Stegostoma tigrinum: one gene and its partners. The protein of the gene in region 3 binds, or shares a complex with, the protein of the main gene of each other region. Links are inferred from orthologs where the notes say so. Each region holds a gene or a part of one and is shown on either strand. Other genes may lie near its edges. The genes, in order: surfeit locus protein 1, timm21, cmc1 and smim20.

The links.
Region 1: cmc1 (region 3) and surfeit locus protein 1 share a complex: the UniProt entries of both Homo sapiens proteins name them as parts of the MITRAC (mitochondrial translation regulation assembly intermediate of cytochrome c oxidase complex) complex. The link is inferred for Stegostoma tigrinum from reciprocal best matches to the Homo sapiens genes CMC1 and SURF1.
Region 2: cmc1 (region 3) and timm21 share a complex: the UniProt entries of both Homo sapiens proteins name them as parts of the MITRAC (mitochondrial translation regulation assembly intermediate of cytochrome c oxidase complex) complex. The link is inferred for Stegostoma tigrinum from reciprocal best matches to the Homo sapiens genes CMC1 and TIMM21.
Region 4: cmc1 (region 3) and smim20 share a complex: the UniProt entries of both Homo sapiens proteins name them as parts of the MITRAC (mitochondrial translation regulation assembly intermediate of cytochrome c oxidase complex) complex. The link is inferred for Stegostoma tigrinum from reciprocal best matches to the Homo sapiens genes CMC1 and SMIM20.

The regions. Positions count from the first base shown.
Region 1 is NC_081382.1:44,016,015-44,024,352, reverse strand, and holds the start of surfeit locus protein 1, read left to right. Parts: upstream 1-5,140; 5' UTR 5,141-5,257; coding exon 5,258-5,323; intron 5,324-5,519; coding exon 5,520-5,595; intron 5,596-6,579; coding exon 6,580-6,707; intron 6,708-7,682; coding exon 7,683-7,765; intron 7,766-8,150; coding exon 8,151-8,338. UniProt on the Homo sapiens protein: Component of the MITRAC (mitochondrial translation regulation assembly intermediate of cytochrome c oxidase complex) complex, that regulates cytochrome c oxidase assembly.
Region 2 is NC_081358.1:59,525,537-59,533,324, forward strand, and holds the start of timm21 (mitochondrial import inner membrane translocase subunit Tim21-like), read left to right. Parts: upstream 1-4,684; 5' UTR 4,685-4,783; coding exon 4,784-5,093; intron 5,094-7,788. UniProt on the Homo sapiens protein: Participates in the translocation of transit peptide-containing proteins across the mitochondrial inner membrane.
Region 3 is NC_081355.1:62,163,230-62,170,988, reverse strand, and holds the start of cmc1 (COX assembly mitochondrial protein homolog), read left to right. Parts: upstream 1-4,683; 5' UTR 4,684-4,761; coding exon 4,762-4,780; intron 4,781-7,759. UniProt on the Homo sapiens protein: Component of the MITRAC (mitochondrial translation regulation assembly intermediate of cytochrome c oxidase complex) complex, that regulates cytochrome c oxidase assembly.
Region 4 is NC_081354.1:89,190,647-89,198,916, forward strand, and holds the start of smim20 (small integral membrane protein 20), read left to right. Parts: upstream 1-4,977; 5' UTR 4,978-5,042; coding exon 5,043-5,151; intron 5,152-8,270.

The DNA of each region.
Region 1 (8,338 bases), on a different chromosome or scaffold from region 3:
GGTACAGTCCCACACACACTGACTCTCACTGGGGTACAGTCCCACACACACTGACCCTCACTGGGGTACAGTCCCACACACACTGACTCTCACTGGGGTACAGTCCCACACACACTGACTCTCACTGGGGTACAGTCCCACACACACTGACTCTCACTGGGGTACAGTCCCACACACACTGACTCTCACTGGGGTACAGTCCCACACACACTGACTCTCACTGGGGTACAGTCCCACACACACTGACTCTCACTGGGGTACAGTCCCACACACACTGACTCTCACTGGGGTACAGTCCCACACACACTGACCCTCACTGGGGTACAGTCCCACACACACTGACTCTCACTGGGGTACAGTCCCACACACACTGACTCTCACTGGGGTACAGTCCCACACACACTGACTCTCACTTGGGTACAGTCCCACACACACTGACTCTCACTGGGGTATAGTCCCACACACACTGACTCTCACTGGGGTACAGTCCCACACACACTGACTGTCACTTGGGTACAGTCCCACACACACTGACTCTCACTGGGGTACAGTCCCACACACACTGACCCTCACTGTGGTACAGTCCCACACACACTGACTGTCACTAGGGTACAGCCCCACACACACTGACTCTCACTGGGGTACAGTCCCACACACACTGACTCTGACTGGGGTACAGTCCCACACACACTGACCCTCACTGGGGTACAGTTCCCACACACTGACTCTCACTGGGATACAGTTCCATATGCACTCTCATGACTACTCTTCCTCTGTATTCTTGGTCGGGAGGTATTAGTTTTGAATGTGGTTATTCTGTTCATTCAAGGTATAGAGCTGGATGAACACAGCAGGGCAAGCACCATCAGAGGAGCAGGAAGGCTGACAGGTCTTCACAAGTGTCTAGGCCTGAAATGTCGGCTTTCCTGTTCAGCTGATGCTGCTTGGCCTGCTGTGTTCATCCAGCGCTACACCTTGTTAGCTCAGATTCTCCAGCATCTGCAGTTCCTGCTAACTCTGTTCATTCACACAGGTTTCTATGTACTGATATTTTTGTCAAGCTGTGGATTGTGGTGAGGTAATCACATCTGAAAGGCCTGAAGTGGCAATATTAACAAATCTGCAGCAGCTCAACTTTCAAATCCAACAACTTGGGGAGCAGCTGTCATTCCAGCTCAATGATTACGCTGTTAGACTGTGAGTGAAATGTAAACGGTGCCATTTTCTCATTGTAAACATTTTTCTCAATGCACACGAGATCAATAATTATCAACACAGGGCAGCATTACGGTGATGTGAAGAGGATTAATCTGACAAGAGGGTTAATATGGAGCAAGTGAAGAACATTCTTCACTTGCCTTTTTTGTCAAGCTGTGTTATTCCAGGCAGAGCTTTCCCCAACACACTGGTCTGAAGATGTTGCTCCAGTCTGATTGCTCCATGTCAGGGAGTCTTCCTTGTGATTTTAACTAAATAGTTCACTTGCATTCCTGAAGGCCAGGCATTCACTGACCCTGAAGGCATCAAACTAGTGTGCAAAAAAACAAATTATCTGCATTTATTTATTTTCAAAAGGTCAGCTGAAGTAAAATGGAGTTTTCTGAATGCTCTGTTCTGCTTTGTACACGTACCAGAGAGCCAAGGAAAACAGTGAATCCAAAATACCATGAACCCAAACTCTGAACCTCAAGCACCAAGAACTGAAACACAAATGTCATAAACTGTAAAAAGTGAAACCAAACAGTTTGTCCCCCACTGAACCCCAGCTCTGGAGAGATGGAGTAAGGCTACATTCCCTTCCACTCAGACAAACCAGGAACAAAGGACAAAACTCTGAAGAGGAGCATCTCCTCTGGTCACTTCCAGCAACAATAAGTGCAACTTAATAAAATAAATAACTGAGTGTGTATCTATCATTTGAAGGATCACTGAGAGGAAAGTTCATTAAATTTAAAATGTTTAAGAAGTTGTGTTGAATGTATGTTTCACATTCTAGCATAAACAGGGGCCAAGGAAACTGCTTTATCATGACAGGCACCTGAGTCCGGTGCTTCTGAAACTGTTCATTTTGTTTCATGTTCCATGCTTTTCTGTCTCTTGATTCTATCTGAGAACATTGCCAAATAAATGTGTTGCTTGAAAAGGTTGGGCACACTATTTTTGAATAACGCAACGCAAATAGATTGAAAATAATTTGTGACACACCAACTAACTGCCAACATATACCAATTTAATAACAATCATGTTTTGCTGTACGAGTCGTTGTCAGTGTTGGGTAGAAGGTTCAGGGAGAACTGGAAAAACAAATTAGAGAAACAAACAAAGAGTACTAGAAGAGACTGATAGTGAACAAAAAAATAAATGCAGAAGTTTTCTCTAGACACAAAAAGTAAAAGAGACTAAAAAGAGGATTTACACATGGAGACAATAGTCCTGGCTTGTGCTAAATGAACATGTAGCAGCACTGTGTTCCAGAAAAGAGGTTGTCCCAATCATAGTGAAGGACGAGATTGTTCAGACACTTGAAAGGTTTAAGATTGATAAGGAGATGGGATTGGACAGGCAGTCCGCACTTAAAGTTGTTCAGGTACCATAACTGGGTGAGGTGCTCTGAGGACACTGAGGTAAGTGAGAGAGGAAATTGCAGAAGCACTGGTCATAAATTGTCAATCTTCTTCAGAGTCAGGGATGGTGGAGAATTGTAAATGTTACACCATTAGTGCAGCAACTACAGGCTGGTCATTTTAACTTCACGGGTGGGAAAACTACGATTGTTCAGGACAGAATTGGGCAAATGTTGGGTCATTGAGGAAAGGCAACATAGAATTGTTAAGGGTGAATAGTGCTTATCTAACCTGACATTTTTTGATCAGATAACAGGGAATGGGTAATGAGGATAATGATGTTAATGTGTACATGGACTTCCAAACTTCATTTACACAGTGACTCCTGGACTTCAGGGGTTAAGTTACAAGGAGAGGTACACAATTTATATCTGTTTTCTCTAGAATTTGGAGGGCTAACGAATGATATAGTTGAAGTCTTCAAGATATTAACAGGAAAAGATAAACAGATAAAGTGATGGAACATGTCATCAACAGTGCTGTCAAGCAGCACCTGCTCAGTGATGCCCAATTTGGGTTCCACCAGGGATACTTAGCTCCAGACCTCATTACAACCTTGGTTGAAACACAGACAAAAGAGACCTGAAATGCAGAGGTGAGGTGAGAGTGACAGCCCTTGATATCAAGGCTGCATTCGACTGAGTGTGGCATCAAGGAGCCCTGGCAAAGCTGCAATCAGTGGGTATCGGGGGCAAATGCTCCAGTGGTTGGAATCATACCTGACATAGATGAAGATGGTCGTGATTATGAGAAGTCAATCAGCTCAGCTCCAGGACATCTCTGCAGGAGTTCCTCAGGGTAGTGTCCTAGGCCCAACCATCTTCAGCTGCTTCATCAATGAAATTCCCTCCATCATAAGGTCAGAAATGGGGATGTTCGCTGATGATTGCACAGCACCATTCGTGACTCCTCAGATACTGAAGCAGTCCGTGTCCACATGCAGCAAGATCTGGACAATACACAGGCTTGCGCTGATAAGTGGCAAGCTGTGACCATTACCAATAAGAGACAATCCAACCACTACCCCATTACATTCAAATGTGTCACCATCACTGAATCACCCAAGATTAACACGCTGGTTGTTATCATTGATCAGAAGCTCAACTAGAATCCACATCAATGCAGTGGTTGTAAAAGCAAGTTAGAGGCTAGAAATACTGCTTCAAGTAACTCACTTCCTGACTCCCCAAAGCCTGTCCACCATCTACAAGGCACAAGTCAGCAGTGTGTTGGAGTACTCCCCACTTGCCTGGATGAGTGCAGCCCCAACAACACTCAAAAAGCTTGCCACCATCCAGGTCAAAGCAGCAACTGATTGAATGGCACTGCATCCACAAGCATCCATTCCCCACACCACAGACACTCAGGAGCAGCAATCTGTACTATCAATAAGATGCACTGCAGAAATTCACCAAAGATCCTCAGACAGCATCTAAACCCAGGACTACTTCCATCTAGAAGGATAAGGGCAACAGATACATGAGAACACCAACACCTTCAAGTTACCCTCCAGGTCACTCACCATCCTGACTTGGAAATATATCGCCGTTCCTTCAGTGTTGCTGGGTCAAACTCCTCCAATTCCCTCCCTAAGGGCATTGTGGGTCAACCTACAGCAAATGGACTGCAGCAGTTCAAGAAGGCAGCTCACCCACATCTTTTCAAGGGCAACTACGGACAGGGCAATAAATGCTGGGCCCAGCCAGTGATGCCCACATCCCACAAAATGAATAAATAAAAGAACAATTTTTAAAAAAGACAAGCTGGGTAAAGATAAACTGTTTTCACTGTTTGCTGATTCTAGTGCCAGGTGCATAGGGTTGAGAATTAGGGCCACGCTGTTCAGGAGAGATTATCTCATATTCTCCAGTATTGGCAGTTCCTACTATCTCTGTTCAGGAGATATGCTAGGAAGCATTTCAATACACAAAGGGTGGTAGACTTTGGAAAATCTCTGTCTCAAATGTCAGTGGATGCTGGATCAGTTATTAATTTAAAATCTGAGATAAATTTTTGTTAAGCAAGCTATTAGGAGGATGGAAAAATAGAACATCCTTTATGGTCCAAAGGGCCAAACGCAGGTACCATGGAGTTAAGCCATAGATCAGCAATGATCTCATTGATTACTTTTCCACTGCTGGGATGAGGACATTGCTAACCAGACCAGCAGTTATTGAGGGTCACCCACTACTGTGGGTTCGCAGTCACATGTTGACCACACACGACACTGAAAGGCTAGCAGCTTCAGAGGGCCAGCAGGACACGGAAGGGGCGAATGGACTGCAGTGTGATACACAGACAAAGTGTAATTCAGGAGACACCATTGAGAAGCCACAGGCAGAGCAGGAACACACCACGTGGCAGCGAGGCCCCGCCCCTTTAGTGTGGCGCCGCGGTTGGGCTCAGCCGGAAGTGACGGCATAGTTCCGCTTCCGGGTGAACATGCTGCGGATTCTCCGGTGTTCGCCCCGGGTGAGAGACCCCGACACCGCCCCCCACCCACCCCCCTCGCCCTCCCCACACACCCCCCCCGTACTGGAACAGCACAGCTCGGGCAACAGCTTGTTCTGGAGTACAAATCATCAGTGTCATCGCCAGAATGTTGTCAGGGCCTATAGCCTTTGCAGTATCCAATGCCTCCAGCCACTAATCTAAAAGCCAGCCTTTCCCCAGTTTCTGGAATCGTGCATTTTGCTGAGGTTTGTTGTGTGATGAGATAGTTCTGTCTAAAGGTCTGGCTTTATTTGAATGGGCTGAATGGTCTTCTCCTGAGCAGATTCTACTAAACCGTGAAGTGACACTGAAAGAGAGATATTGGCTGTTGTATCAGTGAGGCCCATGAGAAGTATCAGGGGTCAAGCCTTATATAATGTTTGCTTTCTGTTTCACCTGCAGCTCTTGAATGCTTGTTCGGCAGAAGTTTTTCCTGGGACTGAACTGGTCTTACCCCATGTCAGAGCAAAACTTGCAGGTAGGCAGCTGTGGTTACAGCTTGGAAATCCTGACATTAATATTCCAACTTCAGCATTGTGCAAAAACACCAAGATAATTCACAGAAAAATCAATCAACAGAGTTTAACATTAGAGTCATAGAGATGTACAGCACAGAAACAGACCCTTCGGTCCAACTCGCCCCTACAGACCAGACATCCTAAATAAGTCTAGTCCCATTTTGCCAGCATTTGGTCAATATCCCCTAAACTCTCCCTATTCATGCACCCTTTTAAATGCTGTAACTGTACCAGCCTCCACCCCTTCCTCTGGCAGCTCACTCCATACACGCACCACCCTCTGTGTGGAAAAAGTTGCCCCTCAGGTCCCTTTTATATCTTTCCCCTCTCACCTTAAACCTATGCCCCTCTAGTATTAGACTCCCCCCACCCTGAGGAAAGACCTTGTCTATTTACCCTATCCATGTCCCTCATGATTTTAGAAAAAGGTCACCCCTCAAACTCCAATGCTCCTGGGAAAATAGCCCCCCGCCCATTCAGCCTCTCCCTGTCGCTCAAACCCTCCAACCCTGGCAACATCCATGAAGATCTTATCTTCACTCTTTCAAGTTTCACAACATCGTTCCTATAGCAGGGAGACTAGAATTGCACACAGTACTCCACGTCAGGGCAAGTAAGCAGGATTGATTTTTCAGAGCATTAATGAAGCAGAGAATGGCAGAGAGGTTTCAGGCGGGAATTCCAGAGCTTGGGGGCCAAGCAGCTGGGGCATGGCCACCAAGGGAACAGCAAAGGGAAACAGAGAGTGTTTGAGAGGCCAGGGTGGAGGCACACAGCTCACAGGGTCAGGGGTGACAGAGATGGGGGCGGGTGGAGGGGGTGACAGAGATGGGGGCGGGTGGAGGGGTGACAGAGATGGGAGGGGCTGGGGATCATGTGATGGTGATAGGGAGAGGTCTTGGCCTCTGATTCCTGTCGGGGTTAATTCTGTGTCTCTGCTGAAGGGGTTGCTAAGAGACGAAATGGGGTGAACATTTCCACGACCACAGTTGCCACGGGGACCGATGATTCATTCCTGAAGTGGACCCTGCTCCTGATTCCTGTCACTACCTTCAGCCTGGGCACCTGGCAGGTAACCACTGGGAGTGGTGGTACATGCAGGTCACGGGAGAGGGGAACAGTTGGGTGTGGGTTGGCGCAGGTTTGGGATGGATGGATGGATGGAGGGGTTTGGGATGGATTTAGAGGTTTGGGTGGAGGGATGGGATGAGGTGGAGGGATGGGGATGGGGTGGTGGGAGGCAATTAGGTGGATGGATGGGGTTGGAATAGAGGAATGGGGTTGGAATGGAGGAATGGGGTTGGGATGGATCGGGGGAGTTGGGTGGAGGGATGGGGATGGGATGGATGGAAGGGCTTGTGTGGAGGGATGGGGTCGGGATGGATGGAGGGGATTGGGTGGAGGGATGGGGTTGGGATGGATGGATGGAGGGGATGGGGTGGAGGGATGAGGATGGGGATGGGATGGGATGGAGGGATGGTGTTTGGGCGGAGGAATGGGGTTGGGATGGATGGGGGGGGTATTGGGCAGAGGGATGGGGTTGGGATGGAGGGGATTGGGTGGAGGGATGGGGATTGGGATGGGGTAGAGGGATGGGGATTAGGATGTTGGGGGGGGATTGGGTGGAGGGATAGGGTTGGGCTGGATCAAGGGGATGGGGTTGGTATTGTTGGGGGGGTTGTGTGGAGGGGTGGGGATTGGGCTGGATGGAGGGGATGGGGTGGAGGATTGGGGATTGGGCTGGATGGAGGGGATGGGGTGGAGGATTGGGGATTGGGCTGGATGGAGGGGATTGGGATGGATGGAGGGAATGGGCTGAAGGGATGGGGAATGGGCTGGGGTTGGGGAGATGGGGATTGGAATGGATGGAGAGGATGGGGATGGGGTGGAGGGATGGGGATGGTGATTGGGATGGATTGAGGGGATGGGGATGGGGTTGGGCTGGATGGAGGGGATGGGGATTGGGATTGGGAGGGATGGATGGAGGGGATGGGGATGGGGGTCTGAGGCCTATTGCTGCTCTTTCAGGCTCTCACTGTCTGCTCAGGTGCAGCGGCGGAAATGGAAGCTGCAGCTCATCAAGGACCTGCAAGCACGAACTCGCTCGGAGCCACTGCCCCTGCCCCTGGGGTAAGTCACACTCTGCTCCTGCCCCACCCCCGGGGTAAGTCTCACTGAACTCCTGCCCATGGGGTAAGTTACCCCGAGCCCCTGCCCCGGGATAAATCACCTTGAGCCCCTGCCCCTGTCCCCGGGATAAGTCACCCTGAGCCCCTGCCCCTGTCCCCGGGGTACGTAACAGTGGGCCCCTGCCCCCCCACCCCTGGGGTAGATCACACTGAGCCCTCCTCCAGGCTAAGTCGCATTGATCACCACCCCCCAAGGCCCCACAACCTCGGGGTGGAGGGGAGTCACACTGTCCTCCTTTGTGATGGTTTCTGTTCAGGTGGGGGTGGGTTGTTCACGGCTGTTTCACTGTCACATAGACTCTGAGCGTTGCCTGTCTATGTCCCAGGCAGTTGGAGCTGAAGCAGCTTGAGTACAGGAGGGTGAGGGTCCGAGGGAGGTTTGACCACTCCAAGGAACTCTACATCATGCCGCGAACGAGGGTGGACCCAGACAAAGATGTACAAGAAGCTGGGCGCCTGATGTCCAGCACAGAGCCTGGAGCCAATGTGATCACTCCATTCGACTGTACTGAGC
Region 2 (7,788 bases), on a different chromosome or scaffold from region 3:
AACCCAGTATAGTCAGCCTTTCTTAATTAAAATTACACCAAACTAGGCAACATCCTGGTAAACCTTTTCTGTGCCCTCTCCAAACATCCACATTCATCTGGTAGTGTGGTGACCAGAACTGTTCACAATATTCCAAGTGTGGTCCGACTAAAGTTCTGTAAAGTTGCAGCGTAACCTGTCTGTCCTTATACTTAAAACCCCTTCCAATAAAGGCAAGAATGCCAAAGCCTTTTTTACGACCTTATCAACCTGTACCGCCACCTTCAGTGATCTGTGGACCTGCAGATCTGTCTGCAATTCAATACTCCTAGGGGTTGTGCTATTCACTGTATAATTTCCACCTATACTTGACCTTCCAAAATGTATCACCTCACATTTGTCCAGATTAAAGTCCAGCTGCCATTTTTCTGCCCATGCCTCCAACTTATCTATATTCTACTGTATCCTCTGACAGTCCTCATTGTCCACAAATCTACCAATCTATGTATCATCCGCAAACCTACAAATTGGACCAGCCACGTTTTCCTCCAAATCATTTTGGGGCAGCATGGTGCCACAGTAGGTAGCACTGCTGTCTCACAGTGCCACAGTTCCAAGTTTGATTCCAGCCTTGGGTGACTGTCTGTGTGGAGTTTGCATATTCTCCCAGTGTCTGCATGGGTTTCCTCCGGATACTCTGGTTTCCTCCCACAGTCCAAAGATGTGCAGGTTAGGTGGTTTGGCCATGCGATATTGCCCGTAGTGTTCAGGGAAGTGTAGATTAGGTGGATTATAGGGTAATGGGTCTGGGTGGGATGCTCTGAGGTTTGGTGTGGATTTGTTGGGCCAAAGGGCCTGTTTTCACACTGTAGGGATTCTATGATTTTGGTCAATCTCAAACAGAAGAGGTCCCAGCACTGATACTGCACAACCCTCCATTCCAAAAAGCATCCTTCCACTGCTACCCTGTGTTTCCTATGACTAAGCCAATTCTGTATCAGTCTTACCAGTTCACCCTGATACGGTGTAACATTTTTTTTTTAAACCTTATCAAAGGCTTTGCTGAAGTCCATGTAGACAACATCAACAGCTTTTCCTTCATCAGAGATAATGTGAACTGCAGATGCTGGAGAATCCAAGATAACAAAGTGTGAAGCTGGATGAACACAGCAGGCCAAGCAGCATCTCAGGAGCACAAAAGCTGACGTTTCGGGCCTAGACCCTTCATCAGAGAGGGGGATGGGGAGAGGGTTCTGAAATAAATAGGGAGAGATGGGAAAGCGGACTGAAGATGAATAGAGGAGAAGATAGGCGGAGAGGAGAGTATAGGTGGGGAGAGGATAGGTCAGTCCAGGAGGACAGACAGGTCAAGGAGGCGGGAAGAGGTTGGTAGGTGGGAAATGGAGGTGCGGCTTGAAGTGGGAGGACGGGATAGGTGAGAGGAGGAACAGGTTAGGGAGGCGGGGACGAGCTGGGTTGGTTTTGTGATGCAGTGGGGGGAGGGAATGAGCTGGGCTGGTTTTGGGATGCAGTGGGGGAGGGGGAGATTTCGAAGCTTGTGAAGTCCACATTGATACCATTGGGCTGCAGGGTTCCCAAGCGGAATATGAGTTGCTGTTCCTGCAACCTTCGGGTGGCATCATTGTGGCACTGCAGGAGGCCCATGATAGACATGTCGTCTAAGGAATGGGAGGGGGAGTTAAAATCGTTCACGACTGGGAGGTGCAGTTGTTTATATTGTGAACCGAGCAGAGGTGTTCTGCAAAGCGGTCCCCAAGCTTCCGCTTGGTTTCCCCAATGTAGAGGAAGCCACACTGGGTATAATGGATACAGTATATACTACATTAGCAGATGTGCAGGCTTCCTAAACAACCACAGGAAGTGCTACACTTGCCCCCAGACCTCCTCCCTCACCCCCACCCCAGGCCCCAAGATGACTTTCCTTATTACATCTGCTTAATAAGGAAAGTCATCTTGGGGCCTGGGGTGGGGGTGAGGGAGGAGGTCTGGGGGCAAGTGTAGCACTTCCTGTGGTTGTTTAGGAAGGTGCCGGTTGTGGTGGGGTTGGAGGGGAGTGTGGAGCGGACAAGGGAGTCACGGAGAGAGTGGTCTCTCTGGAAGGCAGACAAGGGTGGGGATGGAAAAATGTCTTGGGTGGTGGGGTCAGATTGTAGATGGCAGAAGTGTTGGAGGATGATGCGTTGTATCCGGAGGTTGGTGGGGTGGTATGTGAGGTCGCGGGGGATTCTCTTAGGGCGATTATGGCGGGGGCGGGGTGTGAGGGATGTGTTGCGGGAGACACGGTCAAGGGTGTTCTCGACCACTGCAGGGGGGACATTGTGGTCCTTGAAGAATGCTGCCATCTGGGATGTGCGGGAGTGGAATGCCTCATCCTGGGAGCAGATGCGGCGGAGGCGAAGGAATTGGGAATAGGGTGCTGGAATTTTTGCAGGGGGGTGGGTGGGAGGATGTGTATTCTAGGTAGCTGTGGGAGTCGGTGGGCTTGAAGTGGACATCAGTTTCTAGCTGGTTGCCTGAGATGGAGGCAGAGGGGTCCCGGAAGGTGAGGGATGTTTTGGCCAAAGATATCTGTCAGTGCTCCAGCAATTTGTTCTCTTGCCTCTCTCAATATTCTAGGATAGATCCCATCAGGACCCAGGGACTTATCTACCTGAATACTTTTTAAGACGCACAACACCTCTCTCTTTTTAATAGCAACTTTGTTTAGAAACTCAACACTGCCTTCCCTGAGATTATCCTGAACCAATTCTTTCTCTTTGGTGAATACTGACACAAAGTATTCATTTAGGTCCTCATCTACTTCTTCAGGCTTCACAGATAGATTCTCTCCCTTGTCCTTGAGTGGGCCAAACCTTTCCCTGGGTACCTTGTTGCTTTCATAGATGTATGAAAAATTTTGGGATTCTCCTTAATCCTGTTTGCTAACAACTTTTCATGACCCCTTTTAGCCCTTATAATTCCTTATTTAAGTTCTCTACTACTTTTCATATGTACTTCAAGGGCTTCATGAGTGCCCATCCACCTAGATCATACGTATGCTTCCTTTTTCTTTCTGACCAAGATAATAACATCCCTGGTCATCCAAGGTTCACATAACTTTCTTTATTCTTTCAGGAAATGAGGGCATCGCTGGCTTGGCAGTATTTATTGCCCAGAGAGCAGTTAAGAGCCAACCACACTGCTGTGAATCTGGAGTCACATAGGCCAGACCAGGTGAGGATGGCAGATTTCCTTCCCTGAAAGACATCAGTGAACTAGATGGAATTTCCCTAACAATCAACAATGGATTCAGTCATCATGAGATGTTTAATTCCAGATATTTATTGAATTCAAGGTCCCCTGAACGTTATCTGGGTCTCTGGATTAACAGTCCAGTGATAATACCACTAGGCCATTGCCTCCCCTATGGCCATTGCCATAGCTATATGTCATTCGCGCAGGAATGTGCTTCTCCTGAACTCTTATCAACTGCCATTTAAAATATTCCCAAATGTCGATGTAGATTTACCCTCAAACAGCTACCTCCAATCCAAATTCACCAGTTCCCGCCTAATACTGTTGTAGTTCGCCTTCCCCCAATTTAACACTATAAGACATAGGAACAGAAATTAGGCCATTCAGCCCATCTAGTCTGCTCAAACATTCAATCATGGCTGATAAGTTTCTCAACCCCATTCTCCCACTTCCTCCCCATAACTATTGATCCCCCCAACAGTCAAGAACCGATCTATCTCAGTCTTAAAGAAACTCAATGACCTGACCTCCACAGCCTTCTGAGGCAGTGCATTCCATAGATTCACCACTCTCTGGCTGAAGAAGTTTCTCGTTACCTCCATTCTAAAACCTCTTCCCTTTACTCTAAGGCTGTGCCCTCAGATCCTGGTCTCTCCTACTGATGGAAACATCGTCCCAACATCCACTCTGACCAGACTTTTCAGTATTCTGTAAGTTTCAATTAGATCCCCCTGCACCCTTCTAATCTCCGTCAAGTATAGACCCAGAGTCGTCAACCATTCCTTCAATATACTTTTCATTCTTTCACACGGGAAAGCTGTTATCCCCATCCACGAGTAACCTTTGGCCACCTGATGTGGAGGGAGAGGGGCAAATTAAAGGATCATTTGAGACCTGGGCCTGGTCCAAATGGCCATCAAAAGTCCAGACAGCACACTGTCAAGAGGGTTATTAGCTCAAATGCCTGTTTCTATCTAGAGGTAAGTATCTGTCATGATGAAAGGTCCACAAAAGGTCATATGGTCTATTCCTGCTCCCAGTTATTACTTCTTATTTACTGCCACCAAGTCCACACCACTAGATGTGTCCACAAGTGCAACTGAGATCTTCCACAACCACTGGAAGGGCAACAATTGATGGCCAATATTAGGAATTCCATGACGTTATTGCCTTGTATTTCTGTGCACTTTTACGAATTTGGTTTTGGATAGCAACATTGAACATCTAATTGGTGTGTATTATAATGAGTTGGGATTGCATTATGTTTAAGAAATTGGTCTGTGCCTTAGAAGGGTTAACGACTTGAAACAGACATCCTCTATTTCAGTAGCAGATATGTGCCCCGCTGCAACAACTGAAACAACCAATGAAAAAGGTAGGCGGAAATCGGGGGAAAGCAGTATGGATTTTGTAGTTTTTGTCGAATCGTGTTCTTGCAACCAATAAGCAGGCGGAACTACATGTCCCACCGATCTATTCAGACGCTGATCCAATGGAAGAATGACAGCGAGGTAGAAAGTATAGTTTCTACAATAGAAAAGAGAAACAAATGGCTAATGTTTACTTTTTGCGAGCGGTGTGCACACACAGAAGAAGGCTGGTGTTCCAGTACAAAACCCAATTCTCGCTACACTGTTCCGCACGACCCCAAATCTGTAACTCGTTTCGTGAGAGGCCTGGAATTGTAGGAGTCACTACTTGTCCGCTGCAAAAGCAGCACTCACTTTACTTCGTTAGCACGGTTCCCTGGCGGTGCATTTTCACAGAGACTAAATTGAGAAATCCAGCTCCGGGGAAGAAGCAAGAAAACAAAGTATCATTGAGAAAGAGTACCCCGCCCGCATCAACAACTCAGAAAGGTAAAATTGTTCCAAATTGTCCCTTCGAACTAACACCCTGTAATCTGAGTATTTAACACTGCTGTCCGAGATCAAGGTCTGTACAAAACTAAGTTATTCCACTTCCTTACCTTAGCCTCCACAGTTAGCTCAGAATTCAAAGTTAAAACCAATTAGAAGAGGAGTGCAATGAGTGATATCGGGAAAAAAAAGTCTGACATAGACGTACCAAAATTCAAAGAACTTGAATTTGTTTAGCACCTTCTTATTGTCAACTATCCCACAGTGTTCCAGGTGGTTCATTGGAGTTTACCAGACAAAGTAAAAAGTTGCCCATATGTTGGCAGCAACAGTGAGACAAATCCAGCCTGATCAGTTATAATTCTTGTCAGCCTAGCTTCAATCATCAGGTTAAAATGTGCTATTAAGTGACACTTGTACTGCAAAACGTGCTCATTTTGTGTTCCACTGGGGCCACTTGTTCCTGGACCTCATTGCAGCCTTGGCCCAAAAGTGGACGAAAGAGCTGAATTCCAGGATTGAAGGTGGAAGTGGCTGCTACTGACATAGATACAGCTGAAGTTGTGACACTGAGGAGCTATTAGAAAAAATGATGCCAATGGGAATCAGGGAGAAAACTCTTCACTAACTGGAGACTTATCAAGTACAGAGAAAGGAGATTGTTGGAAGCCAGTTATTTCAGCAGTAGGAGCTCTTCAGGTCAGTGAGAAAAATCCAACTATCTTCAGCAGCTCCATCCATTTTAGGGTCAGAATATTTGACAATTATTTTGTTTTCTGGTCCTCTCGCAATTATTCAAACAATGAAGTCATCTGTGCTTTCATGCAGTTAGTCAGGTAACATCCAAGTTTGGATTGAAAAGTGTCAAGAAAAAGTTGTGAACAGAAATGCCCATCCCCAAAAAATGGATCTAACAACATCCACTTCACATTCATTGGTATTTCCATCGACCTACCCCTCATGATCAATATCATGGGTGTAGAGTTTATCATTGACCAAAATGTGAGACCAACATAATGAATTCTGTAATTACAATACTATTTGAAGGTATGATGACTGTAGTGATTACACATTTTCTAATTTGTTAAATTCTATCCATCAAGCCAAAATCTAATGCACTGCACTCACCTTACTGTGATAGTACAGAGATAATGGGAACTGCAGATGCTGGAGATTCCAAGATAAGATTCCAAGATTCCAAGTCTAGGCCCGAAACGTCAGCTTTTGTGCTCCTGAGATGCTGCTTGGCCTGCTGTGTTCGTCCAGCCTCACATTTTATTATCTGTGATAGTACAGATCCCAGTTGTTACATTTTCACTGGGACTAAATTGAGAAATCCAGCTCCGGAGAAGGAACAAGACAACAAAGTATCCTTGAAAAAGTGTGCCCCATCCTCATCATGCTTGCATGCAGCTCCAACTACACTCCAGACTTTACACTATCCAGGGCAAGGAAGTCCAATTGATCAATTGCTCAGACACCACTTGAAATGTCATTCATACCAGCAGGGCTGCAGTAAGTGGTATCTACCAGGTTCTGTTCAGAAACTTACCAAGATGTCTTCAACAGCATTTTGAAAGCCTTCCATCTTTACCATCTGGAAGAACAAAGGTATCTGGCAGACAGGAACACTGCCAAGTTCCCCTTCTATGTCACACAAGGCTCTGACCTATTAGCCTATCCGTCATTGTCACTCGGTTAAAGTTTTTGAACTTATCTAACAACATTGTGAGCATACCAATGCTACGTGACCTGCAGCAGCTCAAAAAAGAAATTCCCCACAAGCAAGGGTGACTAGGTAATGGGCAATAAATGCTGGCCTTTCCAGTGATGTCCACAACCTGTGAATTTTTATTTTAGATGTGCGTGAAAGAACATCAATTACAGCCCTTGCTGCAGTAGATCAATGTGAGAACCTAGTTTTAAACTGCAAAGTGCTATTTACCACAATGAGATGGTTGACTAGTTATTCCTAATGAATTTACCTAATCCCTGAACAACATGCGCCATGGGGAGAAAGTTGGAAAAATCACGAGAGATGGCCAGCAAGTTGAGGACAAAGTTCCATTTTCCAACTAAGTGTTGAATGATGAGACAAGATTCTTGCGCTTGAGTGATGAGAGGCATTTTAGTGCATATCTCCCTATTAATTATTCTATCCTCAGTATGGTGAAGTTTCCCATTCTCCTGCCTAACAGACAAAAACTAGATGTTGACAAATTTCCTGATATAAAAGCCAGAGCCGTTCCCTGGTGAATCTATCTGGCCTCTTGCCCATCTAAACATTCATCTTTGACATCTTTGGACATGCTCCATAGGCAATGCACACTCCCACCCTGACTACAGATAGAGATCTGACGTTTACCAGCGTCAGTGTATCATCTGATCCATAGCATATTTCTGCACTTCAAGCCTGTGTTTTGGAGCATGCTGGCATACTTCATCTCAATGCTGTTGCCAAAACACTCTGCGCACAAAGGGGCACCCAAGTCACAGATTGGATCAGGCTCATCAAAGGGCAATTTGCTAGCTCTCTTGGGTTAACTTGCATTGCGCTTACTTAAATGCTCGTGGAATCTCTGCCTTGCCTTAATTTTAACGCTTTGTCCCCTCAGCCAGAACTTAAGGCGCACAGTAATTTTATCTTGCCTTATCTCAGACACAATGCCAAGCAGCTTGTCTTGTTTGCCAGGTG
Region 3 (7,759 bases):
TCAATTTCAATTTTGTGCCAGTCAGAATTCAGCTGCACCGGGCAACCATATGGTTGAAAGATGTGTGACCAGTGGTCCTTGGCTGTGATCGTGACCATCTGGTTCTTTGTTGACAAAGCCAAAACGTTTTTCATGAAGTATTTTGTGATTATCAGCACATTTGTGCTTGGTAGCAAACTTATCAAGCATGAATTAGTTCATGTCTATCAGCTACATGGGGAACAGGTCTGGATTTTTACCCTAGGTGCCAGGCAGCTGACAATGGGAACTTTAATGCTTTCTTGTTTACAGGATTGTAATTGTAAATACCAGTAACAAATATCCTCAAAAATGCCATGATAGAGAATCACATGCCCAACGTGTTCTAGATATTTTCTGATCAACTTTTTCAGAGTTAGAACCAACATATCCAGCTTCTGCACTGATTGTTTCAGGAGATTGAAATGCTTTGAGATCAGTTGAAGAATGCGACACACATCAAGTTCGAGAATGGAGGTATTTAGTTGGTCAAAGTAATTGATTTAGAACACTGTGCAAGTGGTCACCTTAGGAGGGATATTTGAGAGCGAGGGGCCCCAACCTTTTGTAGCATCATCCCAGTACAGCAAGAAACATCGTAGTAACACTAAGCTGTTGGCTCAATGTCACACAATTTAGCCAATAGTTCAAGTGAGTCCAAAGAACTAAATATGAAAATTGAGATTTCTGAACTCCACAAAAGGATGAACTAATAATTATTCACTAAATTGCCCTGAATGTTGTGTTTTGAAGGAAATCTCAGTCTGGAGTGCTGATTGCAAACTCATTTAAATCAAGTGCTTTCATTTGGGAAAAAAAAGCTTTTTATTGAATGATTTGGCAAACTTTTTCCTTTTCATTCATCTTACCCACTTTCCTGCAATTATTTGCAGAAATATAGTTTGTGGTGACCTAGATACAAGGGTTGCTAAGAAACAGCAGACTAGTAAAGAGTGTCTACACATGACTCCTCCTCTAATAATCTCTACCATACCTCTAAAACAAGGAGAAAATGTAAAATACATATTCTACACGTGGGAAAAATTGAATTTTTGCTGCAAAAAAAAATTGATTTTGAAGTGAAACACATTGCAGTCAGAGTTATAGCTATCATTTGTGCCACTTCAGGAACCAAAAAGGTTTACAGTGGTAAATGAAACATTTTGGCTTTTTAAGGTCAGTACTGGTTCTTTGATGCAGCAATTTAAAAAAAACTCACTTCTTAGCTGTCTTGTCTTATTTTTCACTCCCTCATCTTTTAAAAACTTTTTTCTTAATTGACACAGTGATATTTGTCTCAGAGTACTCCTTTCAGCAAGACATTTCCTACTCCAAAAACTCAAAGGAAGAAACTTCACCAACCTTCCCCTTAATTTTCAACTGTTAGCCCTGATAATTGACACTCATCCTGGGGAAGTTTTTCTGTATTCACCTGGTCAAACCCTTCATATTTAAACATCCTTTCTTGTTAGCCTGCTTTGTTTTTGTAAAATAATTATAGTAGCTCAAGTCCCTCTTCTTGTCAATTAGGGCATAACCTGAGATGATTACCCATGTATTTTACACTCCTATTTATTAAATCCAAAATACTGTTGCCTTCTTTTTTGTTAGTGTCAATCCACATTTACATATTCAAAGAATTTTGAACACCATGTCATTTTGCTAATCTGCAACTTGAAACAGTTTGCCATTTGGTGTATATTCCACTTTGTTTTTCCTCCAGAACTGCATCATTTCACTTTTTGATGGTGAACTGTACCTTCCAATAGCTTCTTGTTTGCCTAACCTGTTTACATCCCTGTGTCTTTTATAATTTGCAAAACACCACACTCCCAATCCATGCGTATATCATTAGCAGGTTTTGACACTACGATCTCAAAATCCAGATAATTTAGATAGGTTATGGTCAGCCAAGTGGGCTCAAATTATTTTTGAATCCAATCAATATTCAACATCCTTAATCTTTTACAAACACAAAGTATTGCAAATGTTGTAAATGTGCATGTGTTGGAACGAATCCCTATACTTCACAGCTCTGGCAGCATCTGTGCAGTGCAGGTAGAGCCAGTGGCCAGAATTTTTAAATTATTATGAGGTCAGGATCAAAAGAAGGTAGGCACACAATTTGGCACTGCTGGTGCTGGCCTTCATACCGGTTTGCTGTAATAATCCTGCCTTTAGCACTAATTTTCAATGATGACGGCTTAGGTCTTGATTCCTGGCAGGCAGTTAACTATCGAGAATTACAGGATCTATTAACGGCTGGCTGTGCGCTGACTGGGATTCTCAGTCAGCCATGCCAGTGGCGCATGTCAGCCTGGCTTTCTCCTTCTGTCTCTCTATCCTCAGATCAGTAGCTCTGACCTCAGCTGGTATGGCTGCCTCCCACTGGTTCTCCTGCAAAGGGAGTGTGCCTGTTGTCCCCGATTTAACAATAAGCCACTGCTTGATCTTGAATTAGCTACAACTTTGAAAATCCCAGCGGATAGAAATAAAACAACACGGATCCAGCCCACAAATCTTGATTAAAAAATACTGTCAAATATTTCTCATCATCCATCAGAACTAGGAAATGTTTTTAAGCAAGTGTAAGGGTGAGAGGTGAAAATTGACCAAAGAAAGAGCTGTAATTGCGTGGAAAACAGGAGAGATTACAGAGACTAAAAGAGTTGGTGGTGTAAGACAAAGACTATTAATGGGACAAGAAAGAAAAGATTGGCTAGATTTTCCAAAGTAGCAATGATGCACAGTTGAGGGAAAAGAATGACTTATTGGAAGCACTGATATGTCTTTAGAACATATGTGAAAAATAGTGAAACTGAAAAGTTAGCTTAATGTCTTTACAGGAAGTAGGATGTGATAAAGTATAGTCAAATCAACTGTGGAAGTCAGTGTACAATAAATATTTGTTGATAATTTATCCCTGAAATAGAAACAGAGATGTTAAGGAAATGGTTAAGAAAGAATAGGAAATGGAGCATGGAAGCAAAGTTGAAATTTTCCAGTTTATTGTGAAGAAACAGCACTGATGCAGTCAATGATGTACAGAAAAAATTTGAGGGGCCCTGATTAGGAATGATATAAGGAATAGTTATCAAAGGAAATATATGTGTATCTAAGATCCATGTGTGTAATGAGTGGAATTGAAGGAGAAGGTCTTCAAGTGAGAGAAATTAGCCAAGTGAAGTTCAATGGGCATTGGTTGGAGTTGAAAGATGGAGATACATAAAGATATACATTTCTGATGAGAAGGAGACAGTGCCAGGAATTTGGAAACTGTTGGGAAATCTTTCACCCTACTGTAGACTTTCTCTTTCATCTTGTCCCCACCCAATCTTTAAAAATACTGACAATGTATTACATTTCTAACTTTTCCCACTTTTGCTGAAAGGTCAACAGCCTGAAATATGAAGTTTTTTCAGGCTGCCTGTCCTGCTGAGTGTTACCAGCATCTACTCTTTTTTCAGATGTACGACATCTGTTTGTGTTTTGCTATCATTATATATCTATCATACAGTAATATAACAAGCAAACAGACTCTTCAGTCCAACTCATCCATGCCTACCAGACATTCCAATCTGACCTAGTCCCATTAGGCAGCATTTGGACCATATCCCACTAAACCCTTCCTAATTATATACCCACTCAGATGCTTTTTAAGTGTTGTAATTGTACCTGCCTCCACCCCTTCCTCTGTCTGCTCGTTCCATACACACGCCATCCTCTGCGTTCAAAAGTTCTCTCTCAGGTCCTTTTTAATTCTTTGATCTTTCATCTTAAGCCTATGCCATCTAGTTTTGGACTCCTAGCCTGGGGAAAAGACCTTGCCATCCACCCTAGGCATGTCCTTATGATTTTCTAAATCTCTATAAAGGTTACCCCTCAGCCTATGACACTCAAGGGAAAACAGTCCCAGCCTATTCAGCTTCTCCCTCTCAAAACCTCCAGTCCTAGCACCATCCTTGCAAATCTTATTTGGAACCCTTCAAATTTAACAGTATTCTTCCCAAAGAAGGGTAGACAGAATTGTACGCAGTATTCTAAAAGTGGCCTCACCAATGTACTGTACAGCCACAACATTATGTCCCAACTCCTGCACTCAAAGTTCTGACCAATTATTTGGAAGCCAAAGCCAAAATTGGGTAAGCTGTCCGTGGACTAGTCAAGCAATAGCTTGACAAAGTTATACTCACAGAATCATACCTTGCAGACAAAGATCCAGACACTACCACTACCACTACCATCACCTTCACCTTCACTTGATACGTCCTGCCCACTGACAAGACTGACCCTCTGGAGGAAGTGATTTACTCTGGAAAGCCTCAACATTGACTCCAGATAGCTTCAGGTTTAACATGGGCAAGGTAATCTCCTGCTGATTACCAAATACCGTCCACTCTCGGGTAATGAATCACAAACCTCAACGTTGTGCAACATTTGGAGGAAGCAATGCACATGGCAAGGGCGCCATATGAGCGTGCCTTGCCAGATCCCGAGTTGTACGTCTCACAGGTTAACCACCCCCTCATTGCCGAGTCTTTCAATCGCTCCATTCCCTTCTATCCAAAAGAAATTTAAAATTAACTCGAAGCAGTTTCCTTTAAATAAGTACAAACGCAGCAGGATCAGAAAATCAGCCATAAACCAAAACAGACGGCAGAGAAAACCATCAAACAGCCGGAAGTGGGTCCACGTTACTAGGGTGAAAGGTGAAGGGGAGGGGCCTGCTGTTACGGAGCGGTCATGGATCCCGGTGGTGAAGGTAAAGCCGATTCTTCCGTGTGATCTGAGCCCTGTGGGAGCGACCTGGCTCTGGGTATAAACTGACAGGTCTGTCACGGTGAATTAGGGCGATATTTTCCTATAGTTATGGAAGATAAGATCCGATAGCCGAATCTTTAAATATCCATCGCGCCAGCACACGGCATTGGCGTGTGTGATGGGAAGGACTGCCCTCACTTACCATCCTGCACCCTTCCGGCCTTTCCTCATTTATCCCGCACACCCCCAGTGTCTTCCTCTTTCACTCCCTACCCGCCATCGAGGGAGGGCCCTCATCCCCCTGCCCGCTGCCACCTCGGACTGCCAACCCACCCCACCCGGCATATCCTCATCCCCCATCTCAGGACTGACCCCATCCCCTTCTTCTCACTCCCGCGCTGGAACTGTCTTCATTTCAGTCCCCACTGGGGACTGTACACAGTTCTCTGTGTATTGATGCTCAAGTTGCTGATGCAGTTAGATCATGTATCTTCCTGGTTGAGGCTTACTCATGAATGAAAAGGAACGAGCATTTTTGGTAATTTTTTTGAATCTTATGATGTCCTAATCTTTATAATCAGTGGAATAGTCGTGAAGTCATTTCACTGATATAAAATAGGAGATGTTACACCTCAGTGGGAATATTGTGTCGAATTCTGGGTATCCTTCCCATCTTTAGGAAGAATATGAAAGCTTGGGAATGAAATTTCATTTACTTGGCAAATTGGTGAACTGGGACTATCTTCTTTTGAAATAACAAGGTGTAGAGCTGGATTGACACAGCAGGCCAAGCAGCATCATAGGAGCAGGAAGGCTGACATTTGGCTGCTTGGCCTGCTGTGTTCATTCACCTTGTTATCTCGGATTCTGCAGCATCTGCAATTCCTGTTATCTCTCTCTTCTTTTGAGGTGTTTTAAGAGGAGTTTAGATTTAAGTGTTCCCTGAGGGGTCTGAAGAAAGCAGAGAAGGACAACTTTCTATTTGCGGAAAGCTGACAACTAAATTACGTCAACTTAAAGTGTTTAGCAAAATAACCAGAAGCAGTATGAGAAACATCTTTGTTGTACCATGGCCCAGATTTCCACTAGCTAGACAGTTGTTACTCCAGTGTTGATGGGAATTGACCTTACAGAATTCCTATCATAGCAGACATTGAAGGAATTGCCTGGGAAATTGAATTTTCCATCAGGCACTTTCTCTACACCTGGAGCCCTCCAAAACTCTTCATTCACATTGGAGACTTCAGAGAGTTTCAATGAAATTAAGTAAAGTAATTATCCAGGAAATGTTAGAGCATTAAATAGATGACCCGAAGTAACTATTCACCTGATCCCACGTTTACCTCAAGCACCCTCCATTACACCTCTGTTACTACACCTTTCACCCTCAATCCTGGAACAGACACCTGCGGGGACCTGACTACCATCCTATGACCCCAATGCCCTTTCCTCCCCATTTGGACTGGACCTGACCCTATATAATGCCCCACTAGGACTGGCCCCTCCACCTGACACTTGCTCACCTTGTTAGTCCCGACTTAACATAGCACTAGCAGACCCCGCCACTCACCAGAACTGCAGACCAAACCAGAAACTCCATGACACACCAGGCCTGATGCTACCCCTCACCTCCCCTCCCAACTCCATGAACCAATTTCTACAACATACTTGACCTAACCTAACTTAAATACTACATCACTTAAATTGCACCCTCACCAAGTAGCATTTTATCTGACACTCTGCGCTGATTCTTCATGATTTTCAATAGTTTGGCTGATTTCTCTATCAATAGCTCCTCTCAAATTTCCTTAAATAAAATGAAAGGCCATTAGTGGGTTAGCCTGACACAAGGGCAAAAGAAATGGAAAAATACCAAAGGGCGAAAAGACATGAAAAAGGCCACACAAGTAACAATGTGAGAAATATTAGAGAAGGGAAGAAAAAAGCAAACAAGCTGAAAATATGGCAGGTTGTTTTTATTCTTGAGATATGGGCAATGTTGACAATGCCACATTTATCACCAACTCCTAATCTACCTAAAGTACTGCTAGACTTTCTTGAATAGCTGCTGCTGTTTAATTAGAGTTCCTAAGGTAACTGAGGAGAGAAGGGGAGAATTTTGATCAAACAATAATGAAGGAATAACAATATACAAGTCAGGATAGATTGTGTCTTACAAGTTAGTAGTATTCCTTTGATATTGATGCTGTTGCCTTTTTCTATGTTTGAGGTGTGAGATTGAGCTGTGTCATCAAACTCTACTAGGTGAACAAGACACAGTCCAGATACAGTGGAGGTAATGATTATTGACTTGCTAGTTATGGATACTGATCAGTAATAATAAAAACTGTAAACACTCAGTGGGCCTGGTAGCTTTTGTGGTGAGAGAGACCAGAGTTAACATTTCAAGTCTGTGACCTTACATCAGATTTTCTCTTCCTACAGATGCTAGAAATACACCTCAGTTTTTCTCTTTCCACAGATGCTAGAAAAGCTACGGAGTATTTTCTGTTTCAGATTTTCATCATCCAAAGTATTTTGCTTTTATGTAGTAGTAGTTACACTGAAAACAATGTTAATTTCAAGCTTGGGTTAGTATTCCAATATGATTCCAACAAAAAACATTATGCGCTGTGGTTCTTCTCAACCTGTCTATAGTCTGTGACACAGTTGGTCATGCCATCTTTCCAGCTGCACTCAAGAGGTTGAGATTGTGATGGTTTGGCTCCATTTTGACTTGTACAATCAAAACTAGAATATCTATTTCAATTGTTTCTCCTCTCACTTATGCAACATTACCTTGGAGACCCTAGGAACCAATCCTTAATCTTTATCAAAATCCTTGTTTTCATGTCAATGCTGATAATACTTAGCTCCACGCCGCCACTATCTTTCTCGGTCCAACTGCTTTTTTCTGAATTACCAGACTGCTAATCTGACCAAATGAGCAGGAATTTCGTCTAACTAAATATTTGGAAGA
Region 4 (8,270 bases), on a different chromosome or scaffold from region 3:
CATAAATTGCTTACTTTTGTCATTGATTTCTCTCGAAATAAACAACAGCACCCCATCGTCTTTCTTGCTGTACCTGCTCACTAAGGTTTTGCGACTTATGCACCAGATCATCCAAATCCTTCTGCACTTCAGGATTCTGCAGTTTTTCTTTAATTCATTCATGGGATGTAGGTTTCACTAGCTGAGCGAGAATTTGTTGATGATTCTTAATTGCCCTTGAACTAAATGGTTTGCTAGCCACTAAGAGTGCAGGTAAGAGTTAAACACATTGTTGTTGAGGGTCTGAAGTCACATATCGGCCAGATGAGATAAGGATGGCAGTTTTCTTTTCCAACATTAGAAGATCATTAGTGGACAACTTTGATTTTATTGAAGTTGAATTCCATTATCTGCCATGGCGTGATTCTAACTCAGGTTGGCTGCTATTAGCCTGGTTCAATCAGAGGCATGGCTGACATTTATAAACAGGGAGATCAGACATCCTATACACTCAGAGGACTGGCTCTGAGGACCAATGTCAAGAACTCTCCATGTGCAAATAAAGGGTTACTTGGTGGTGGGATACTGGCCTTCATGGAGTTATTTCAGTCCCCAGACCATTATCTCGGTCCCTGTAATAATAACACTACACCATTGCCTCCCTGTTACTTGCCATTAAACATATATTCTGCTTTGCCTACTGTTTTCAGCAGAGTGAACAACTTCATATTTTCCCAGATTAGATTCCATCTGCTAGATTTTTGCCCACTCACTCAAATTATTTATATCTATCTGCAACTTCCTGATGCCTTCTTTACAACATATTTTCTTTGCTATCTTTGTGTCATAAGACCATAAGACATAGGAGTGGAAGTAAGGCCATTCGGCCCATCGAGACCATTCTGCCATTTAATCATGGCTGATGGGCATTTCAACTCCACTTCCCTGCGCTCTCCCCGTAGCCCTTGATTCCTTGTGGGATCAAGAATTTGTCAATCTCTGCCTTGAAGTCATTTAATGTTCTGGCCTCCACTGCACTCCGTGGCACTGAATTCCACCGGCCCACCACTCTTGGCTGAAGAAATGTCTCCTCATTTCCGTTTTAAATTTACCCCCTCTAATTCTAAGGCTGTGCCCATGGGTCCTAGTCTCTCCCATCTACTATAACAAATTCAATCATATTGAGTAAAAACCAAAAGAACTGTGGAAGCTGTAAATCAGGAACAAAAACAGAAGTTGCTGGAAAAACTCAGCATCTGTGGAGAAAAAAATTAGAGTTAATGTTTTGGGTGCAGTGACCCTTCCTTAGAGCTGATGGTAGCTAGGAAACGATTAAATGCAGAATATAGGGAGGGGGAGGGGCAGTAAACTATAAGTAGGGATAGAGCCCAAAGAGAGAGAAGAGCTGTTGGATAGACGAAGAAGTTGATGATGATCTGGCTGGGAGGGTGAATAGCTGCTAATGGGGACAGTTAGTAACCAACAATAGGTAGTGTGTAATGGAAAGCTATGTGATAACAAGACTTGGTGTGTGGGGTAGAGGAAGAGGATGAGGAGGTGGGAGAGTTTAGGCCCTAAAATTATTGAACTCGATATTGAGTCCTGAGGTCTGCAGGGTCCCCAAGCGGAAAATGAGGAAAACCTAAGATGTTGTACCGAGTAATAATGGGAACTGCAGATGCTGGAGAATCCAAGATAATAAAATGTGAGGCTGGATGAACACAGCAGACCCAGCAGCATCTCAGGAGCACAAAAGCTGATGTTTCGGGCCTAGACCCTTCATCAGAGAGGGGGATGGGGTGAGGGTTCTGGAATAAATAGGGAGAGAGGGGGAGGCGGACCGAAGATGGAGAGAAAAGATAGGTGGAGAGGAGAGTGTAGGTGGGGAGGTAGGGAGGGGATAGGTCAGTCCAGGGAAGACAGACAGGTCAAGGAGGTGGGATGAGGTTAGTAGGTAGGAGATGGAGGTGCGGCTTGGGGTGGGAGGAAGGGATGGGTGAGAGGAAGAACAGGTGAGGAAGGCAGAGGCAGGTTGGACTGGTTTTGGGATGCAGTGGGTGGAGGGGAAGAGCTGGGCTGGTTGTGTGGTGCAGCGGGGGGAGGGGACGAACTGGGCTGGTTTTGGGATGCGGTGGGGGAAGGGGAGATTTTGAACCACCCCCAGGCCTCCTACCCTCCCTTGACCTCTTCATCTCTAACTGCCGTCGAGACATTAACCGCCTCAACCTCTCCACCCCTCTCACCCACTCCAACCTGTCCCACCCAGAACGGGCAGCCCTCCGCTCCAACCCCAACCTCACCATCAAACCCGCAGACAAGGGTGGCGCAGTGGTAGTATGGCGCACTGACCTCTACATCGCCGAGGCCAGACGCCAACTCTCCGACACCACCTCCTACCGCCCCCTCGATCATGACCCCACACCCGAGCACCAAACCATCATCTCCAACACCATTCATGACCTCATCATCTCAGAGGACCTCCCACCCACAGCCTCCAACCTCATTGTTCCCCAACCCTGCACGGGCCGTTTCTATCTCCTTCCCAAAATCCACAAACCTGCCTGCCCTGGTCGACCCATCGTCTCAGCCTGCTCCTGCCCCACCGAACTCATCTCCACCTATCTGGACTCCATTTTCTCCCCTCTGGTCCCAGAACTCCCTACCTACGTCCGTGACACTACCCATGCCCTCCTCCTCCTCCAGGACTTCCAATTTCCTGGCCCCCAACATCTCATTTTCACCATGGTCGTCCAGTCCCTATACACCTGCATTCCGCATGCAGATGGCCTCAAGGCCCTCCGCTTCTTCCTGTCCCGCAGGCCCGACCAGTCCCCTTCCACCGACACCCTCATCCGCCTAGCCGAACTCGTCCTCACCCTCAACAACTTCTCTTTCGATTCCTCCCACTTCCTACAGACTAAGGGGGTGGCCATGGGCACCCGCATGGGCCCCAGCTATACGTGCCTCTTTGTTGTTACGTGGAACAGTCCCTCTTCCACACCTACACAGGCCCCAAACCCCACGTCTTCCTCCGTTACATTGATGACTGTATCGGCGCCGCCTCTTGCTCCCCAGAGGAGCTCGAACAGTTCATTCACTTCACCAACACCTTCCACCCCAACCTTCAGTTCACCTGGGCCATCCCCAGCACATCCGTCACCTTCCTGGATCTCTCAGTCTCCATCTCAGGCAACCAGCTTGTAACTGATGTCCATTTCAAGCCTACCGACTCCCACAGCTACCTAGAATACACCTCCTCCCACCCACCCTCCTGCAAAAATTCCATCCCCTATTCCCAATTCCTCCGCCTCCGCCGCATCTGCTCCCATGATGAGGCATTCCACTCCCGCACATCGCAGATATCCAAGTTCTTCAAGGACCGCAACTTTCCCCCCACAGTGGTCAAGAACGCCCTTCACCACGTCTCCCGCATTTCCCGCAACACATCCCTCACACCCCGCCCCCGCCACAACCGCCCAAAGAGGATCCCCCTCGTTCTAACACACCACCCCACCAACCTCCGGATACAACGCATCATCCTCCGACACTTCCGGCATCTACAATCTGACCCCACCACCCAAGACATTTTTCCATCCCCACCCCTGTCTGCTTTCCGGAGAGACCACTCTCTCCGTGACTCCCTTGTTCGCTCCATACTGCCCTCCAACCCCACCACACCCGGCACCTTCCCCTGCAACCGCAGGAAATGCTACACTTGCCCCACATCTCCTCCCTCACCCCTATCCCAGGCCCCAAGATGACTTTCCACATTAAGTAGAGGTTCACCTGCACATCTGCCAATGTGGTGTACTGCATCCACTGTACCCGGTGTGGCTTCCTCTACATTGGGGAAACCAAGCGGAGGCTTGGGGACCGCGCAATAAACAACTGCACCTCCCAGTCGCAAACCATTTCCACTCCCCCTTCCATTCTTTAGATGACATGTCCATCATGGGTTTCCTGCAGTGCCACAATGATGCCACCCGAAGGTTGCAGGAACAGCAACTCATATTCCGCTTGGGAACCCTGCAGCCCAATGGTATCAATGTGGACTTCACCAGTTTCAAAATCTCCCCTTCCCCCACCGCATCCCAAAACCAGCCCAGTTCATCCCCTCCCCCCACTGCACCACACAACCAGCCCAGCTCTTCCCCTCCACCCACTGCATCCCAAAACCAGTCCAACCTGTCTCTGCCTCCCTAACCTGTTCTTCCTCTCACCCATCCCTTCCTCCCACCCCAAGCCGCTCCTCCATCTCCTACCTACTCACCTCATCTCACCTCCTTGACCTGTCCGTCTTCCCTGGACTGACCTATCCCCTCCCTACCTACCCCACCTACACTCTCCTCTCCACCTATCTTTTCTCTCCATCTTCGGTCCGCCTCCCCCTCTCTCCCTATTTATTCCAGAACCCTCACCCCATCCCCCTCTCTGATGAAGGGTCTAGGCCCGAAACGTCAGCTTTTGTGCTCCTGAGATGCTGCTGGGCCTGCTGTGTTCATCCAGCCTCACATTTTATTATGTTGTACCGAGTGCCTTTGTGCCTAAGATGATGCTTGGCCTGCTGTGTTCATTCAGCTCGACACTTTGTTATCACAGTTTCTCCAGATTCTGCAGTTCCCATTATCTGTGATGCTGGGAATAGTGACTTTGTACACTTTTCACTGTACTCCTGCATCCCTGTACTTCAGAACAGTTGACAGTAAAATCTAATTATAATTCCTCAGGAGGAGGAGCCAGGCATTGTTGTTTTCGGTGACTGAGAACTGAACGTATGAAGTATCCACAGCAAGAAATGCTTCATGACATGAAGCCACCGGATGAGAAATTGGCAAACTATTTGAATAAGAGATAGCAACAATCAGAAAGGAAGCAGACTGGGCTCAGCGCGTGCGCAGTGGAGCAGAGTGCGCTAAGATGCCATTCGGTGGGAATTGCCCGTCTCAAAGGTGGCGGCCGCGCACCCGGTCACATGATACTTCGCGCACGCGCGTACCGGGACGGATATAGGAAGCAATTGTCGGGGTGGGAGAGTCGTCCGTTCCGATCCGTCAGCGTGCGCCATGGCTGGGCATGCGCGGGTGGTTTTGTTGTTCGGTGGCTTCGCCGCTCTGCTGGGAGCCGCCTTTTACCCCATCTACTTTCGGCCGCTGATTTACACCGAGCAGTACAGTGAGTGAGAGAAACAATCTGCGGCGGAGGTGGATGGTCGGTGCGGATACGGCTAGTTACCGGCTCTAACTCCCACCCTTTCCTGCTGTGTCCCCCTCCCCTCACCCCCTGTGGATTTGATGATGTTTCATCAGAGTGAGGGTCACGGCCTTAGGACGTGTGGCTGAAAGGGGAGAGTTGCCTTTGATCAGGGTGATGAATCTGTGGAATTCTCGACCACGAAGCCAGGTCACTGAAGATAATAAAATGTGAGGCTGGATGAACACAGCAGGCCAAGCAGCATCTCAGGAGCACAAAAGCTGACGTTTCGGGCCTAGACCCTTCATCAGAGAGGGGGATGGGGAGAGGGAGCTGGAATAAATAGGGAGAGAGGGGGAGGCGGACCGAAGATGGAGAGAAAAGAAGATAGGTGGAGAGGAGAGTATAGGTAGGGAGAAGATAGGTCAAGGAGGTGGGATAAGGTTAGTAGGTAGGAAGTGGAGGTGCGGCTTGGGGTGGGAGGAAGGGATGGGTGAGAGGAAGAACAGGTTAGGGAAGCAGAGACAGGCTGGGCTGGTTTTGGGATGCAGTGGGTGGGGGGAAGAGCTGGGCTGGTTGTGTGGTGCAGTGGGGGGAGGGGAAGAATTGGGCTGGTTTTGGGATGCGGTTGGCGAAGGGGAGATTTTGAAGCTGGTGAAGTCCACATTGGTACCATTAGGCTGCAGGGTTCCCAAGCGGAATATGAGTTGCTGTTCCTGCAACCTTCGGGTGGCATCATTGTGGCACTGCAGGAGGCCCATGATGGACGTGCCATCTAAGGAATGGGAGGGGGAGTTAAAATGATTCGTGACTGGGAGGTGCAGTTGTTTATTGCGAACCGAGCGGAGGTGTTCTGCAAAGTGGTCCCCAAGCCTTCGCTTGGTTTCCCCAATGTAGAGGAAGCCACACCGGGTATAATGGATACAGTATACCACATTGGCAGATGTGCAGGTGAACCTTTGCTTAATATGGGAAGTTATCTTGGGGCCTTGAATGGGGGTGAGGGAGGAGGTGTCGGGGCAGGTGTAGCACTTCCTGTGGTTGCAACTGAAGGTGCTGGGTGTGGTGGGGTTGGAGGGCAGTGTGGAGCAAACAAGGGAGTCATGAAGTGATTGGTCTCTCCGGAAGGCAGACGAGGGTGGGAATGGAAAAATGTCTTGGGTGGTGGGGTCAGATTGTAGATGGCGGAAGTGTCGGAGGATGATGCGTTGTATCCAGAGGTTGGTGGGGTGGTGTGTGAGAACAAGGGGGATCCTCTTGGGCGGTTGTGGCGGGGGTGGGGTGTGAGGGATGTGTTGCGGGAGACGTGGTCAAGGGTGTTCTCGACCACTGTGGGTGGAAAGTTGCGGTCCTTGAAGAACTTGGACATCTGGGATGTGTGGGAGTGGAATGCCTCATCCTGGAAGCAGATGCGGCGGAGGCAGAAGAATTGGGAATCGGGGATGGAATTTTTGCAGGAGGGTGGGTGGGAGGAGGTGTATTCTCGGTAGCTGTGGGAGTCAGTAGGCTTGAAATGGACATCGGTTACAAGCTGGTTGCCTGAGATGGAGACTGAGAGATCCAGGAAGGTGAGGGATGTGTTGGAGATGGCCCAGGTGAACTTGAGTTTGGGGTGGAAGGTGTTGGTGAAGTGGATGAACTGTTCGAGCCCCTTTGGGGAGCAACAGGCAGCGCCGATGCAGTCGTCAATGTAACGGAGGAAGAGGTGGGGTTTGGGGCCTGTGTAGGTGTGGAAGAGGGAATGTTCCACGTAACCTACAAAGAGGCAGGCATAGCTGGGGCCCATGCGGGTGCCCATGGCCACCCCCTTTGTCTGTAGTAAGTGGGAGGAAACAAAAGAGAAGTTGTTGAGGGTGAGGACGAGTTCGGCTAGGCGGATGAGGGTGTAAGTGGAGGGGGACTGGTTGGGCCTTGAGGCCATCTGCATGCGGAATACAGGTGTATAGGGACTGGACGACCATGGTGAAAATGAGGTGTTGGGGGCCAGGGAATTGGAAGTTCTGGAGGAGGTGGAGGGCGTGGGTGGTGTCACGGACGTAGGTAGGGAGTTCTGGGACCAAAGGGGAGAAAATGGAGTCCAGATAGGTGGAGATGAGTTCGGTGGGGCAGAAACAGGCTGAGACAATGGGTCGACCAGGGCAGGCAGGTTTGTGGATTTTGGGAAGGAGGTAGAAACGGGCCGTGCGGGGTTGGGCAATAATAAGGTTGGAGACTGTGGGTGGGAGGTCCCCTGAGATGATGAGGTCATGAATGGTGTTGGAGATGATGGTTTGGTGCTCTGTGGTGGGGGGGGGTGGGTGGGTTCATGATCAAGGGGGCGGTAGGAGGTGGTGTCGGAGAGGTGGCGTTTGGTCTCGGCAATGTAGAGGTCAGTGCGCCATACTACCACTGCACCACCTTTGTCTGCAGGTTTGATGGTGAGGTTGGGGTTGGAGTGGAGGGAGCAGAGGGCTGCCCGTTCTGCGGGGGAGAGGTTGGAGTGGGTGAGAGGGGTGGAGAGGTTGAGGCGGCTAATGTCTCGGCGGCAGTTGGAGATGAAGAGGTCGAGGGAGGGTAGGAGGCCTGGGGGTGGTGTCCAGGAGGAGGACTTGTGTTGGAGGTGGGTGAAGGGGTCAGTGGCGGGAGGGTTGGGCTGCTGGTTGAAGAAGTAAGCGTGGAGGCGAAGAGCAGTTTTTCCGCCGCCTTTGTCCAAACGTGACTGGTATTCGTTCATGTGTGGTTGTTGGGGGACAAAGGTGAGCCCCTTGCTTAGGACTGACCGTTCGTCCTCAGTCAGTGGGAGGTCTGGGCAGATGGTGAAGATTCAGCAGGGCTCAGTGTGGCTGTCCTCTCTGGGGTTGCTGGCTATGGAGGTTGTGGGCGGAGCGATGAGGTTGTTGGCCGTGGGCGGGGTTCCGTCGGTGTCGGCCGTGGGTGGGGTATTAATGTATGTTAAAGAGAAATACACTTCTAAAGGCTAGCAGTACCAGGGTGTTGAAATGGGGGGGAGTCATCAGTGATTTTGTTGAATGGTGGACTGAGCTCCAATGGGACGAATGCCTGTTTTTGCTCCTATTCATCATGTTTCTCTCGCATCCACAACCTCCCATTCACATGCTGTC